Caenorhabditis elegans: one gene and its partners. The protein of the gene in region 1 purifies or fractionates together with the protein of each later gene. This does not show direct contact. Each region holds a gene or a part of one and is shown on either strand. Other genes may lie near its edges.

Evidence for each region.
Region 2: the proteins of rsp-1 (region 1) and Y54F10BM.3 fractionate together in Caenorhabditis elegans (co-fractionation; one large-scale study listed by BioGRID). This does not show direct contact.
Region 3: the proteins of rsp-1 (region 1) and selt-1.1 fractionate together in Caenorhabditis elegans (co-fractionation; one large-scale study listed by BioGRID). This does not show direct contact.

Annotation. Positions count from the first base shown.
Region 1 is NC_003280.10:11,451,882-11,456,365, reverse strand, and holds rsp-1 (putative splicing factor, arginine/serine-rich 1), read right to left. Parts: upstream 2,387-4,484; 5' UTR 2,386-2,386; coding exon 2,263-2,385; intron 2,210-2,262; coding exon 1,977-2,209; intron 1,926-1,976; coding exon 1,853-1,925; exon of another isoform or gene 1,725-1,852; coding exon of another isoform or gene 1,707-1,724; exon of another isoform or gene 1,448-1,706; coding exon of another isoform or gene 1,445-1,447; exon of another isoform or gene 1,342-1,444; coding exon 1,268-1,341; intron 1,216-1,267; coding exon 925-1,215; intron 878-924; coding exon 733-877; 3' UTR 561-732; downstream 1-560. Other genes in the region: rsp-2 (putative splicing factor, arginine/serine-rich 2), read left to right, coding at 3,421-3,540, 3,593-3,850, 4,140-4,216, 4,265-4,484. UniProt on the Caenorhabditis elegans protein: Plays a functionally redundant role in spermatogenesis and growth rate control.
Region 2 is NC_003281.10:2,280,371-2,285,132, forward strand, and holds the start of Y54F10BM.3 (Tyrosine-protein phosphatase domain-containing protein), read left to right. Parts: upstream 1-1,654; 5' UTR 1,655-1,715; coding exon 1,716-1,788; intron 1,789-2,724; coding exon 2,725-2,776; intron 2,777-2,828; coding exon 2,829-2,903; intron 2,904-3,426; coding exon 3,427-3,721; intron 3,722-3,860; coding exon 3,861-4,014; intron 4,015-4,762. Other genes in the region: Y54F10BM.22 (Neuropeptide-Like Protein), read left to right, coding at 551-714, 1,216-1,351.
Region 3 is NC_003284.9:11,544,525-11,548,235, forward strand, and holds selt-1.1 (Thioredoxin reductase-like selenoprotein T homolog selt-1.1), read right to left. Parts: upstream 1,972-3,711; coding exon 1,905-1,971; intron 1,862-1,904; coding exon 1,762-1,861; intron 1,565-1,761; coding exon 1,457-1,564; intron 1,405-1,456; coding exon 1,281-1,404; intron 1,231-1,280; coding exon 886-1,230; 3' UTR 567-885; downstream 1-566.

The DNA of each region.
Region 1 (4,484 bases):
TCGCCTGATCTTTATCTTTACCATTTTCCGTATTTTAATCCAGCCGAGTTTGATGTAGACTTTCCAGTTCGGGCTACTTATCACTGTCATGAATTCCCATACATTTGGGGAGTCTACAAGGACAATTATTTCGAATTTAACGACGATGATAGAACAGTCTCCGCATTTTTAATCACATCCTTGACAAATTTCATAAAGACGGGGTATCTGAAAAAGTATCAGCATAGCAGCCTACAGTAGCTTCCAAACTTTCAGAAATCCTTCAAGCTCGGAATTTAATTGGCCTTTATACGACTCATCAGTTTCTCATACAGTTATCGGGCCAAAGCCAACAACTGATAAACGTCTGTTAACTCTTTAAAATCATTAACACAATTCGAACTTCAGATCTTTTCCAATCTGATTACAACTTCTGGGATTCGATGGTTCAGCAATTCCAGTTTGATCTCATTACAGGCCTCACTGTTGAATCTCATATTGAAACTACGACGAGTTCTTCTTCTTCTCTAACATTCATTCCTGCTTTAATAATTCTTATAGCCATAATTACAAGTGCATAATTTCTCGAAATTTATCATTTGAGATCCATAAAATAAACAAATAAAAATTTTAAAAGTTCAGAGAACTGTGCTTATTCAGCTTGGGTAAAAAGAGAAACAGAAGTGGAATAAGGAAATTTGAATTTAGTGATTAATTAAATAACGGAACATTTGTTTTGGAACCGAAGCGAGTTTAGTTGTCACCGTCTCCATTATCCATTGGAGATGCGCTTCTCGAACGTCTCGGGGATCCCTTTTCCGAAGGCGAACGCGATCCGCGTGGTGGAGATGGAGAGCGATCGACCTTCTTTGGAGATCTTGATGGCGAACGAGACTTTCTGAAAATAGTTTGTTTTTTAAATCATCACTTTTATAATATCAATACCTGTTGTCAGCGCTGCGAGAACGGCTTCTGCTGCGAGACTTGGACTTCGATTCGCGTCGAGAGCGTTTTGGTGGGGAACGGCTACGGCTCTTTGAGCGACTCGAGCTGCGAGAGCGGGAGCGGCGACGATCACGACTGCGAGAACGGCTGCGAGAGCGACTGTTGGATCGAGAACGTGAGCGTCCAGCTTGCGAGTCGTCGATCATCTTGATCTTTCTTCCATTCAAATCCATTCCATCGCATTTCTCAATGCATCTTTTAAGATCGGATGGTGTTGCGAAGCAGAGAAGTCTGAAAATTGATTTGTTATTTTTCATCTTCTATCTACAAATTGCAAACTTACGCTTCATTTGGTCTCTTATGAGCTTCGGCATAGGTTGGTTCAACTCCTTGGCGGCGGACTTGGTCTTTGAGATCCTGAAAACACAATAAAGATGCTACATAATTACATCTGTCGATATTTGACGGCTTTCCAAGGTGTTGTGAAAAATGTGCGTGAATAGCGCACAATCGGGATTACCATATGCAATCCTTGCACATGTTTGATGCGGGATCATCCGAACCACTCAGCCTAACCACGCGAACACCAAAAACCCGAAATCACATCCCAGCGTGCAGGACCAAAAAGTACAGGAACCAAGAACATCAAGACTACGCGGGAGAAGGAGAGCCAATAATCATTTTGCGCCCTTTGTTCTGCGGTCCGACCATCATCAGACAGGCTCGGGATCACATGATACCAAATCACAAGAATCATCATCAACAACAAGATCCTCCAGTTATCATACAATCTTCTCCTGCTTAAATATAAAATATTAGGAAAGATGTTTTCCTCCCACTGACAAATTGAGATGATCGTGTTGTATTTTGTCAAGATAAAGTTTCAATAGATGTATTACAGTTTCTATCTCCGTTTCGTTTTACATACCTGCCAAGAAATTCGAGATGAGAGATTCTCGACGACGACGCGATGACGAGTGCTGTATGGACGACCGTAGCGACTGAAAATGTAAGTGGTTATTATTATTGCCACTATCGCTTCATTCAATTACCTTTCTCTTCTTGGTGGTCCACGATCATAACGATCGAATCTATCGCGTCCTCCACCGCCACCACCGCTGTATGAGCTGACTCGTGCACCTCCACGACCGCCACCACCGAAACCACCGCGGTCGCCACCGCCTCCTCGTGGTTTGGAATAATCCAATATGACACGCTCTCCACCGAGCTCCTTTCCGTTCAAATCATGAACTGCGTCTTCGGCGTCACGCTTGTCGTCGAACTCCTGAAAAAAAATGACATTAGGAAACTGAAATGGTTTTAGAAATTATAACTTACGACAAATCCAAAACCATTCTTGAGTAGGACGTCGCGAATTTGGCCATAACCACGGAAGAAATGCTCAATGTCCTTTTCAGAAACACGAGAAGTCAACCGACCGATGTAAATTCGAGCTGCCATGCTGAAAAGAAAGCGAATGAATGAATGGCCTGTATCACAGAGGAGAAAAATAATATTGAAGACGAGAAGATTATCGATTCACAAAATGTGCGCGTTTGAGAGCGCACTCACAGACAATGTAGCCATGACAACAACGCGCACCTTGGCCGATAAGCGGGGCAGCTGTTTTACTCAAAACACACTCATTTTCTCTGCGTACAACCACTCTTTTCTCGTCTGCGCCCTACATTTCTTAAATTAGTTGCAATGTTTTTCTCCTAATTAGTTTCAAACTCTGACCCACATATGAAAAAAATGATCTTGCATTTGCGTAATCCTAAAATTCCTTCCTTTCGAATTTGATGATTTTCTGCGTTTTTTAAAGTTCTAATATCGTTTCCTAGCTTGAAAATAATTTGAAGTTTTTTTTAAAGTAAATATATAACACTTAACGCTTTCACATCCAGGTTAGCCAATGGACTCATTTTGCTTTGATATTCTTTATTTGAGATTCTGTGAATCAATGCCTTTCATCACAAAAAAAACATCTTAAAGCGCTTATTCGACTTATTTTCATATAAAATCCTAAAACCACAAGATTATAGTTTGCATTCTGATGAAAAGTTAAGAGCATATCAACCTGAACACCTACGCAGGCGAAATTCAATGCAGGATTAGTGAAATACTTTAAAAATAAGAAGAAATGCCGCACAAAATGCGAAAATCAGTTTCAAATGAGGGCACCCGCGACGCAACCGCAACGCTTAGAGCACTAAGTGCGTGTCAGAACGCTGCTGACGCATTAATGGGATACCATTGCGCGTTTCTCGTTTTATAACTCTGTGGCATCGTCCTGTGCTCCCATTTTATTGATTATCGACTTAATTTCAGCGCGTCGCGTGCATGTGCATGTACATATTGCCTCCTATTTAATGTGCAATGCCCAAATTCTCTTCCTCTCTGGCCACAATAATTTTTATTTCTCCAGACTTTTCTTATTTCTTCTCTCTTTTGAATTGACTTTTCTCATTCTTCACTTATTTCAGACCTCTAAACATGGTTCGTGTCTACATCGGTCGTTTGCCAAATAGAGCATCTGATCGTGATGTCGAGCACTTCTTCCGCGGATATGGAAAGCTGTCTGATGTCATAATGAAGAACGGATTTGGTTTCGTGGTAAGAGATAACATATTTTCGTCAGAATATCTTGAATATGTCATAATTTCAGGATTTTCAAGACCAGCGCGATGCCGATGACGCTGTCCACGATTTGAATGGGAAAGAGCTTTGTGGAGAGAGAGTCATTCTTGAGTTTCCACGGCGTAAAGTTGGGTACAACGAGGAAAGAAGTGGGAGTGGTTTCAGAGGACGTGAGCCAACGTTCAGAAAAGGCGGCGAGCGCCAGTTTTCCAACCGATACAGTCGTCCGTGCTCGACTAGATTCCGTTTGGTGATCGATAATTTGTCTACTCGTTACAGTTGGCAGGTAAGATACATGACTGCGAGCCATAGCGATTCACAAGTTGCGTGTTTGAGTGTGATTGAACAACTAACGAAATACTACCCCCGTTCCAAATTTTACTGAAAACTGTCACTCATTTTTTCAAAACGAACATTTTGAATGCTACAGCAGCAACTCAGTGGGTGTGCCATTTGCCAATACAATTTGCAATTCAATTGCTCTCAATCAATTTCCTCAGTCAATGGCATTCTTCTTCCTCCTATCAATCTGGCCCTACTTCACAAACAATCAATACCCTGTACCTGAATTTTAGGACATCAAGGACCACATCCGCAAGCTGGGAATCGAGCCGACCTACTCCGAGGCGCACAAGAGAAATGTCAACCAAGCGTATGATATGCACTTCTTTTAAATGTAATTCATCGTTTTTATTTTTAGAATCGTATGCTTCACTTCCCATGACGACTTGCGTGATGCGATGAACAAGTTGCAAGGTGAAGACCTGAACGGAAGAAAGCTCAAATGCACGGATGAGACCCGTGACCGCAGCCGTTCAAGAAGTCCACGCCGTCGCTCTCGATCCAGAAGTCCCACTAGAAGCCGTTCTCCACCAGCTCGTCGTCGCAGTCCTGGATCTGACAGATCGGACAGAAAGAGC
Region 2 (4,762 bases), on another chromosome or scaffold:
GCCAATTTTCAAGATTCTGAGCCTAGATTAGTTTTAAATAGTACCCTCAATATTTTTCCATAAAATATAACATAGGAATTTACAAGAACCCGTAAAACTACAGTACCCCATAACTTTCCGTGTAGAGACCCAAAAAATTTTTGTTTTTTTTTTTGAAAAATTGGAAAAAAATTTTCAAAATTTTTTTTTTCAAACTTAAATTAATTTTACTGATTTTGTTGAAGTTTTTCGCTATATTAAAATTGATTTTAAAAAATCTGCACCCATTGCTTAGGTGCAAAATGTATCCCTCTACCCCTTTTCAGGTACACTAAGAATTCAGCGAATTCAGATTTGCCAAACATCAAAACAATGGAATTTTTCATTGTTTCTCACGTGTAGCAACTGATAAAAACTGATAAAAGATATCAAAATTGATCCTATGACGTCATCATGTCTTATGACGAATTCCACCCCCCGCTGACTGTGAGAAAAGTATTTAAAAACTTGATTTTTCAAGTTTTTCCCTAAAAACTTTTTACACTTTCTCTATGTAAAAGTTCAAAAAAACATGCGAAAAACTACAGTAACCTTATTATTTTTGATATTTTTTATTCAAATTTCTGAAATTCTGACTCTACCTATCAATTATGGTGCATCGTTGAACTCTGTACACTCGGATGACCTGAGTGCTGAGGATTATCAAGTTTTGAGGAAAAATGAGACAAAAATTGAGTAAGTTCATTGATTTTTTGCTAATAGAAAGGTTTTTGAAATTTTGGAAAAATTAAAAAAAAAATTTTTTTGAAAAAAACTTGTTTAAAAATAATAATTCCGCCAAATTATCGATTTTTTTGGTCGAAATCTCAAGTTTTAAATGTTTTCTTTAATTTTATTGAATTCAGCGTCATTGATTACCCCTATCCCAAAATTTTGGGCCTTCTAGCTCAATTTTCAAGAATTGGCTGAGTAGCGACCCATTGCGATACGGAGTTTGGTCAGTTTTAGTGCAAATGGCTAAAAATTTAGGATTCTGGGTTTCCAAGTATGGCAAATTTAATGATAATGTTAGTTTTTCAAAACTATGACTCCGTATCGCAGTTCTGAGTCGCTACTCAGCCAAATTTCAAAATTTTGAGATTTTGAGCTAGAGCTCTGAAAACCTATAGATAAGGGTAATCAATCACGCTGAATCCAAAAATAACTTCTAAAACCAAAAATTTTAATTTTTTCCAGAAGAATCCACAGAATTCAGCAATTTTTCAAAGCGGAGCACCACGAATCCACGTGGCGAGACTCGATTTGCAGTGCATTCCACTCGTTTTCACTGTTCCCGCCAAACTGCTTTGCGGCTCCGCCAAACGACAAATAAATCGATATTATTGATTTATGAAATGACATGATTTTTTTCTACGACGCACAATAAATTTTTGTGATTTTCTGATTTTTTTTGATTTTTTTTTGGGTCTCGTCACGAAAAGTTGTGGGGTACTGTAGTTTTTACCGGAATTTCTAAAATTTTTATTTTATCTTTTACGTGGGTAGTTTTCGCACATTTTAAGCCAAAAATGAACAAAATATCTCAAAAACTAAAAAAGTTACAAAATTTTTAAAAAATTGAATAAAAACGTAAAAACTCAAAAATTGCCAAAAAACATTCCACGTCGGGAACCACGTCGTTTGATTTTCGAAAGTCGATAAATCGATATTGAAAAATTTATTTCACAATATTCAAGATGAAATTGTGGTCGATTTTATTGGTGACCATATCGATTTTTGGCATCTGCCACGTGGAACCATATGAGCTAAGTAAGTACGGGGGTTTGACGCCAAGATACGGTTCGATTCTACAAAATTATCGGATTTTTCGGGAAATTATCGATTTTCTTGAGAAATTATCGATTTTCTGGCGGAAATATCGATTTTCTTGCTAAATTATCGATTTTCTTGCGAAATTATCGATTTTTTCGCGAAATTATCGATTTTTTCGGGAAATATTGATTTTCGGGAAATTATCGATTTTCTGGCGAAATTACCGATTTTTCGCGAAATATTGATTTTTTCGCGAAATATTGATTTTCGGGAAATTATCGATTTTTTCGCGAAATTATCGATTTTTCGCGGAATTATTGATTTTCTGGCGAAATTATCGATTTTCTTGCGAAAATATCGATTTTCTTGCGAAATTATCGATTTTTGGCGAAATTATTGATTTTCTTGCCAAATTATCGATTTTTCGCGAAATTATTGATTTTCTTGCGAAATTATCGATTTTCTCACGTGTCGAAAAGTTGCCCTTATTTTTTATTTCTGTCAAGAATGCAATTTCAGGATTTAATATAGGAAGAGGCAGATTTTCTTGCGAAATTATCGATTTTTTCGCGAAATTATCGATTTTTTTCCCGAAATTATTGATTTTCCAGGAAATTATCGATTTTTAAAAAATTATCGATTTTTAAAAAATTATCGATTTTTAAAAAATTATCGATTTTTAAAAAATTATCGATTTTTTGCGTAATTACTGATTTTCGATAAATTATCGATTTTTTCGCGAAATTATCGATTTTTGATATTTTCGATGAACACGTGGAGTTTGTTATTTATTTCTTTTTGAAAATGACGTGGAGAGGACGGTAAAAAAAAGCCACGTGGCCATTGCGATTGCGAAATTATCGATTTTTGATAATTTATCGATTATTCGCGAAATTATCGATTTTTCAACAAAAATTTATTGATTTTTTCCAGGTTTCGTCGATTGGCCTACACCCGCCCCGCCGACCTCAACAACTCCACCAGTGTAAGTCTATCCGTTGTCCCGTTAGTTTATCCCGATGACCGCTCTTTTTCAGATCCTCAACCAAACCACCACCTGCTGAACAGTTTAATTCGCTGACCGACATTCTCGACCTAATTCCAATCGAAGTGTAAGTTGTGAAAATTTGACATCGATAATTGCTCGGCGGCGAAAAATTGGTTTTTTTTTTTCGAAAAATCGATAATCTATGTTGATTTTATTGATTTTTTTGGTCGGATTTTTGAAGAAAAATCAATAATTTTTATTGATTTTTTGTTCAAAAAATCGATAACTTGCGTCATTTCTTTTATCGAAAATCAGTAATTTCGCAAAAAAATCGATAATTTCGCAAGAAAATCAATAATTTCGCAAGAAAATCGATAATTTCGCGAAAAAATCGATAATTTCGCAAGAAAATCGATAATTTCGCAAGAAAATCGATAATTTCGCAAGAAAATCGATAATTTTGCAAGAAAATCGATAATTTTGCAAGAAAATCGATAATTTCGCGAAAAAAATCGATAATTTCGCGAAATTATCGATTTTCTTGCGAAAAAATCAATAATTTCACGAAAAAGTCGATAATTTCGCGAAAAAAATCGATAATTTCGAAAGAAAATCGATAATTTCGCAAATTTTCTGTAATTTTTCAGCTGGCTTGTTGTACTTTTCCTGGAATCTGCGTTTGTTGGAGCATTTGGAGCATATTGCTACTGGAAAGTTCAACAATGGCGCGACGAGAAAATGGCAAGGGAAAAGGCTTGGGAAAGGCGTCTGGCACGAGTTTCTGAAGTTTCGGCTTCGAAAAATCGAAACGCTGGAGGTGTGGATCCTGCAAAAAGACCGAGAGAATCAGCCAAATGGCTGAAACATGTAAAGGAGGTGACGCTGAAACGGGGTGGAGTCGAGCTGCTGCCGATGGAGGATGTGATCGTGAAAAATAAAGAGGTAGAGATTTTTCCGAAAAAATTTGAAAATTTACGTGTCAAAAATCAAGGAAAAATCTTGAAAATGAACAAAGTTATGGGTTTTCGAAAAAAAAATTTTTTTTTGAAAATTTTTTTTGTAAAAAAATTTGTTTTTTCAGAAATTCAAAAAGCCACAAAATGAGCTTCGAGAAAATGAAGTGTGGGTGGAAAGACAAACGGGCCCTGATATTGATAAAGATTCGGACCCAAAGACGGAAAATGCATTGGATGAGCAGGATTATCAGCTGGAAGATGGATGGCACGGCAAGTCAGGTATGGTTTTAAAATCAGGTTTTAAGAAATTTTACTTTAAACATTGCAAGTTATTAAATTAAACATTAAACTCACAAAAAGATTGCGCTCATTTTAAGACTATATTCAATCGAATATCTTTAAAATTCGCAGAGTTATGTAGTTTTGAAAATAAAATTTGAAAATTTGAAATTTTTTTTTAAATTTTTATTTTCTTGAAAGCTCGAGCTAACTTTCAATTCAAAACCGATTTGGCGTGAATTTTCAGATTTAGCACGCCTAGAGCTTTCAAATAACACCCATCATGACTAGGTTTCGCCTGTTTTGGGTCCCCAAGTTTTCAAAGTGGACGGAGCTTAGTCAATATGGGTGTTAAATGGAAAGTCTTGACACGCTGAATTAAAAAATGAGCAAAAAATTGTAAAAATTTTTTATGTTTTCCAAAAATCTCAAAAAAAAATTTTTTTTTTTTTAATTTTTTTCTAAATTTTTAGACTTTTTTTGCACCAACTGAGAAATAATTAACAAATTCAAAATAATCACATTGAGACCTTTAAAATAAAACCCATCATGACTAGGTTCCGCACATTTTGGGTCCCGCCACGAAAATGCCGCCGGGAGTACTCTGGTTTTCGTGGTGGGACCCAAGAATTTGCAATTTTTAATCTGAAACGTTCAAATCGGTTTCGTAGAAAATTTTAAAAGTTTTTGAAACAAAAATTTTGAAAAAAAATTTTTTTTTCGAAATTAATTTTTTTTGGAAATTTTG
Region 3 (3,711 bases), on another chromosome or scaffold:
CATTTTAAACTTTTCGGAAAGCAGAATTCTTCCTTATGAGTAAGCACTGCAATTTGCGTTTTCTACCAAGTAGAAATAATTTCAGCTTAAAAGAGTTAATGGACAGAGTTCTTGATGAGTATTTCCCGAGAATACAACAACACATTAATAAGGCTCAGACTTTTGAAAACATTTCTGAGTACTTGACTGAGCCCCAGAAACAGTTTGAACTGTTAGAAAAGACAGCAAAGGTATGCATGCTTATGAAAACTTCAATTTTCACATATTAGATTTTTCAGATTTGAAAAATGTTTCATAAACCCGCATGGTATCCTTGGAGATCCGCAGAGTCGTCATGTGCTCTTCCGCCCGAGTGCGGACAACTGGTATCGTGGAAACGCAATCTCTCAAGTACACAGCTTGATATCAAAAATGGAAACTTCAGTAGACGACGAAGAACTCTTAAAATATTCTAAGCAATTATCCAAGGAGATTGCTTTTGTAAATGTTGCATTCATTTGCGCGAAACATTCCTTAAACGAATTTTTTACTTTGTGATTTGTTTTTAAATAAACAAAACTAATACTCTAGTAAAAAATATTATTTCTGAAAAATTTCAAATGAAAAAACTGGTTTCAAAAATTTGATTCCTTAATGGTAAATAATTATTTAAAAAAAAACAAAACGTAACATTATTTGAATAGAAAATCATTAGAGGTGAAATAAAAGTGGCGAGAATTTTTATGACTGCAAATAATTTACACACGTTGAGAAACAAATAAAAAGTTAATTTAACTTAATAAAATAAGGCGTCGGATGACGAGTGAGGGAATGAATCAGTTTGAGCAGCAAGAATACATTGTAAATAATTATGGTAACACGGTGTCAAATTGAAAACATAGCGTTTTAGACAGTCTGTTGGAACTCTCCAAATGATTCTGTGTTGACAGGAGCTTTTCCGAGCACCGCAAGTTGAGCATCGATAAGTTGCATGAATTCCTGAGGGGATGGTACACGACCTGACTCGATTTTACTCCAGATTTGTTCATTGCCAAGGTAAACTTCGAATGCTCCAGTAGAAATGAGACTTTGTTCAACAAGGTTGCCGAGCATGAACACCAGCATACAGGACGACATCTTGTTTCCGTGTGCGTGCTGCAGAATCTGTGGGTATCCAAGACCAAATCTCTCAAATGGATTTATTCCACCTAGCACCAGCACGAGAACTGCCATTTTGACGAAACTGAGAGCCTAAAAATACATTTTATAAATAATCCAAGTCACTTCAAATTGAACAGTACCTGAGCAACATAAGCTTTCCAAAGAACCGGTGCAAAGTTGGCTCCTTCAATTGGCATATTTGGATACTTTTCTTTGGCAAAAGTGGTGAACTGGTCGAAAGCTTGCTTATAACCACATGAAACACTGAAAAATTATGCATAATTTCTAGTAGAACCTATATATGTATAAATATTACCAGTAGAAAATTCTCAATGTTGGAAGATCCTTGGCGTGGTGGACGGCTGTAGGCTTAACAAATGAGGATTGCTCCCGGACTTCAATATGATCTTCTTCGGTTCCTTGACTGAAAAAATTAAGTTTTGTAGCACTTGTTTGAAAAATTTCAGTTAACCTGTTGGAAACTAATTATCATGAACTTAGAAATTTTATTGAGCACCTTAGAAAGCTTGAAAAATTGAAAACGGTCATGCGTTAGATTTTCACTTTTTTGAAAATAAAATTGATTTTAATTTCACAATTCGACCTTTAAAAAAATAATACCTGAAGCTTTGTGAATCTGTTTCGTCTCCAAATTCTGCTTCAAAATCGTCCTTTTCATGTACGTGGTTCTCATCGTGTGAATGCTCTTCCGCTGAAACAGCTACTTGGGTTGTTTATTTCATTTATGATGTGTCACAACTTACTTCTCAGCACATCACAAACTGACATAAAGAAGAGAACTCCTATGATAAATACCCCAAACCGTGACATCTGAAAAATCAATAATGGCAAAAAAAACATCAAAACACTATAGAGAAGGAAATGAAATTTTTCATCATCTTTTTTGCAACAAAAAAAATTAGATAAAAATGTCAGAGAAGAACACATTTGATGAAGTGTTTTACACTAGAAAAAGCAAAGAAAGCGGACGCGCAGGAGAGTATGATATGACAGAAACACCCTCTCGACACACAAGCGGACAACACAGGGTATTCCAAACGAGCGCGCAGCACCAAGACCACTGCGGAGTCTCAGCGATCAATACTTGACTCGCCCGTAGCAAACGCGCCCCATCACTCGCCAGTGTCTGATGCCTCCGCGCCTCACACACTCTCTCGTTCTCTTTGAACGGTTCTCGGTGTGTGTATGCGTGTGTGTTTGGAGGACGTTGAGTCACCTCATATTCGCACACTCGCATAACCTTTAATTTTATGTGCACAGTCTTCTCTTTCCTTGTTTCTCATTTTAACTCGTTTTTTATTGTTCATTGGATATGATATGGGAGGAGTTGTTTTGATGTGATCAATACGCTACGTTATAGAATTAGTTTCTTTTTGAGATTCTTAATGGATTCTTGGTTTCCGTGAAGGTCAAACAGTCAAACACAAGAAATCGGTTTCCGAGAAAGTGAACTTTGTTGTCGTGCAATTGCAATATCTTATTGAGACTTTTTTACAATGAGTTAATTTCTTATTTTGGTACTTGTGTATTACATACTTTCATTTTAAAATTAATGAAAATGCTCATTGATTTCTCCGTTTAAATTGAACGTGATGTGGAATTTTCCTCGTTTGGCTCAGAAATGCTTATTTTCTAATTGTAAGCTTTAAAATATAAAAAAATTTCCACACTTTTTTATTTTTACAACTTAAAAATTACTTTAAAAATGAGTGCATGTAATACACAAGCAGTGTTTGCAAGTTTAAACTTCCTTTCAAAAAAAAATATGTATATCTTAATAAATGTTTTTCACCCCCAGTGTCTTAGAAAAATGTAATTGACCATTTCTCAAATCTAATGACAAACATCTTGCTTTTGCAATTCATCGTGGATTCTCATTATTTTTGAAAAGCATCTATCTTCTTTTCGTGCTAGCATCTCAATCTCAAAAAGTTACACCACCAACAATACGCATCTCACATTTGCCGAGGTGGAGTGGTGACAAACTAATTGAATCGCATCCGGATTCTTCCACTTCTCACTCCTGAAGGAAAACAAAAAAAAAAGGAACTTGCCCTTCTCATCCATCTTTTCCCCCAACCTAACCCATCTCACCTCAAATGCATTAGTTTTATGGGCTTTTACGACAGATATCAATGACTTGAAGAAGGAGGGGGAGTCACTACGTGTGTATGTGTATGTGTGTGGATGGCCTTTAGACACTAACATCCTCAGATGTTCTAAATTAACCGTCCGTACACTTTGCAATTTCTGGGGTCAGTGCCCACGACGCGTTTCCTCTGGCTCCACAATGACTCATCCGCAGATGTGTGAGGTCTCCCTTTCTCCGAGGTTTTCGTTTTTCAAATGCTCATTTGCATTCAAAACGATTCGTTCTTCACATTTTTCTTTCAATTCTCCAAATTTTCGGTTTTTGTTCCACGCTTTGTCATGTTTCTCTTTCATCACTTTGTTCGCTACCCATTTTAGGATTCTTTCCCCATTATTTTCTATTCTGCGTTTGTATTGTTCTAATGGCTTCATGCCACGTCACGCAACAACATCGTATTT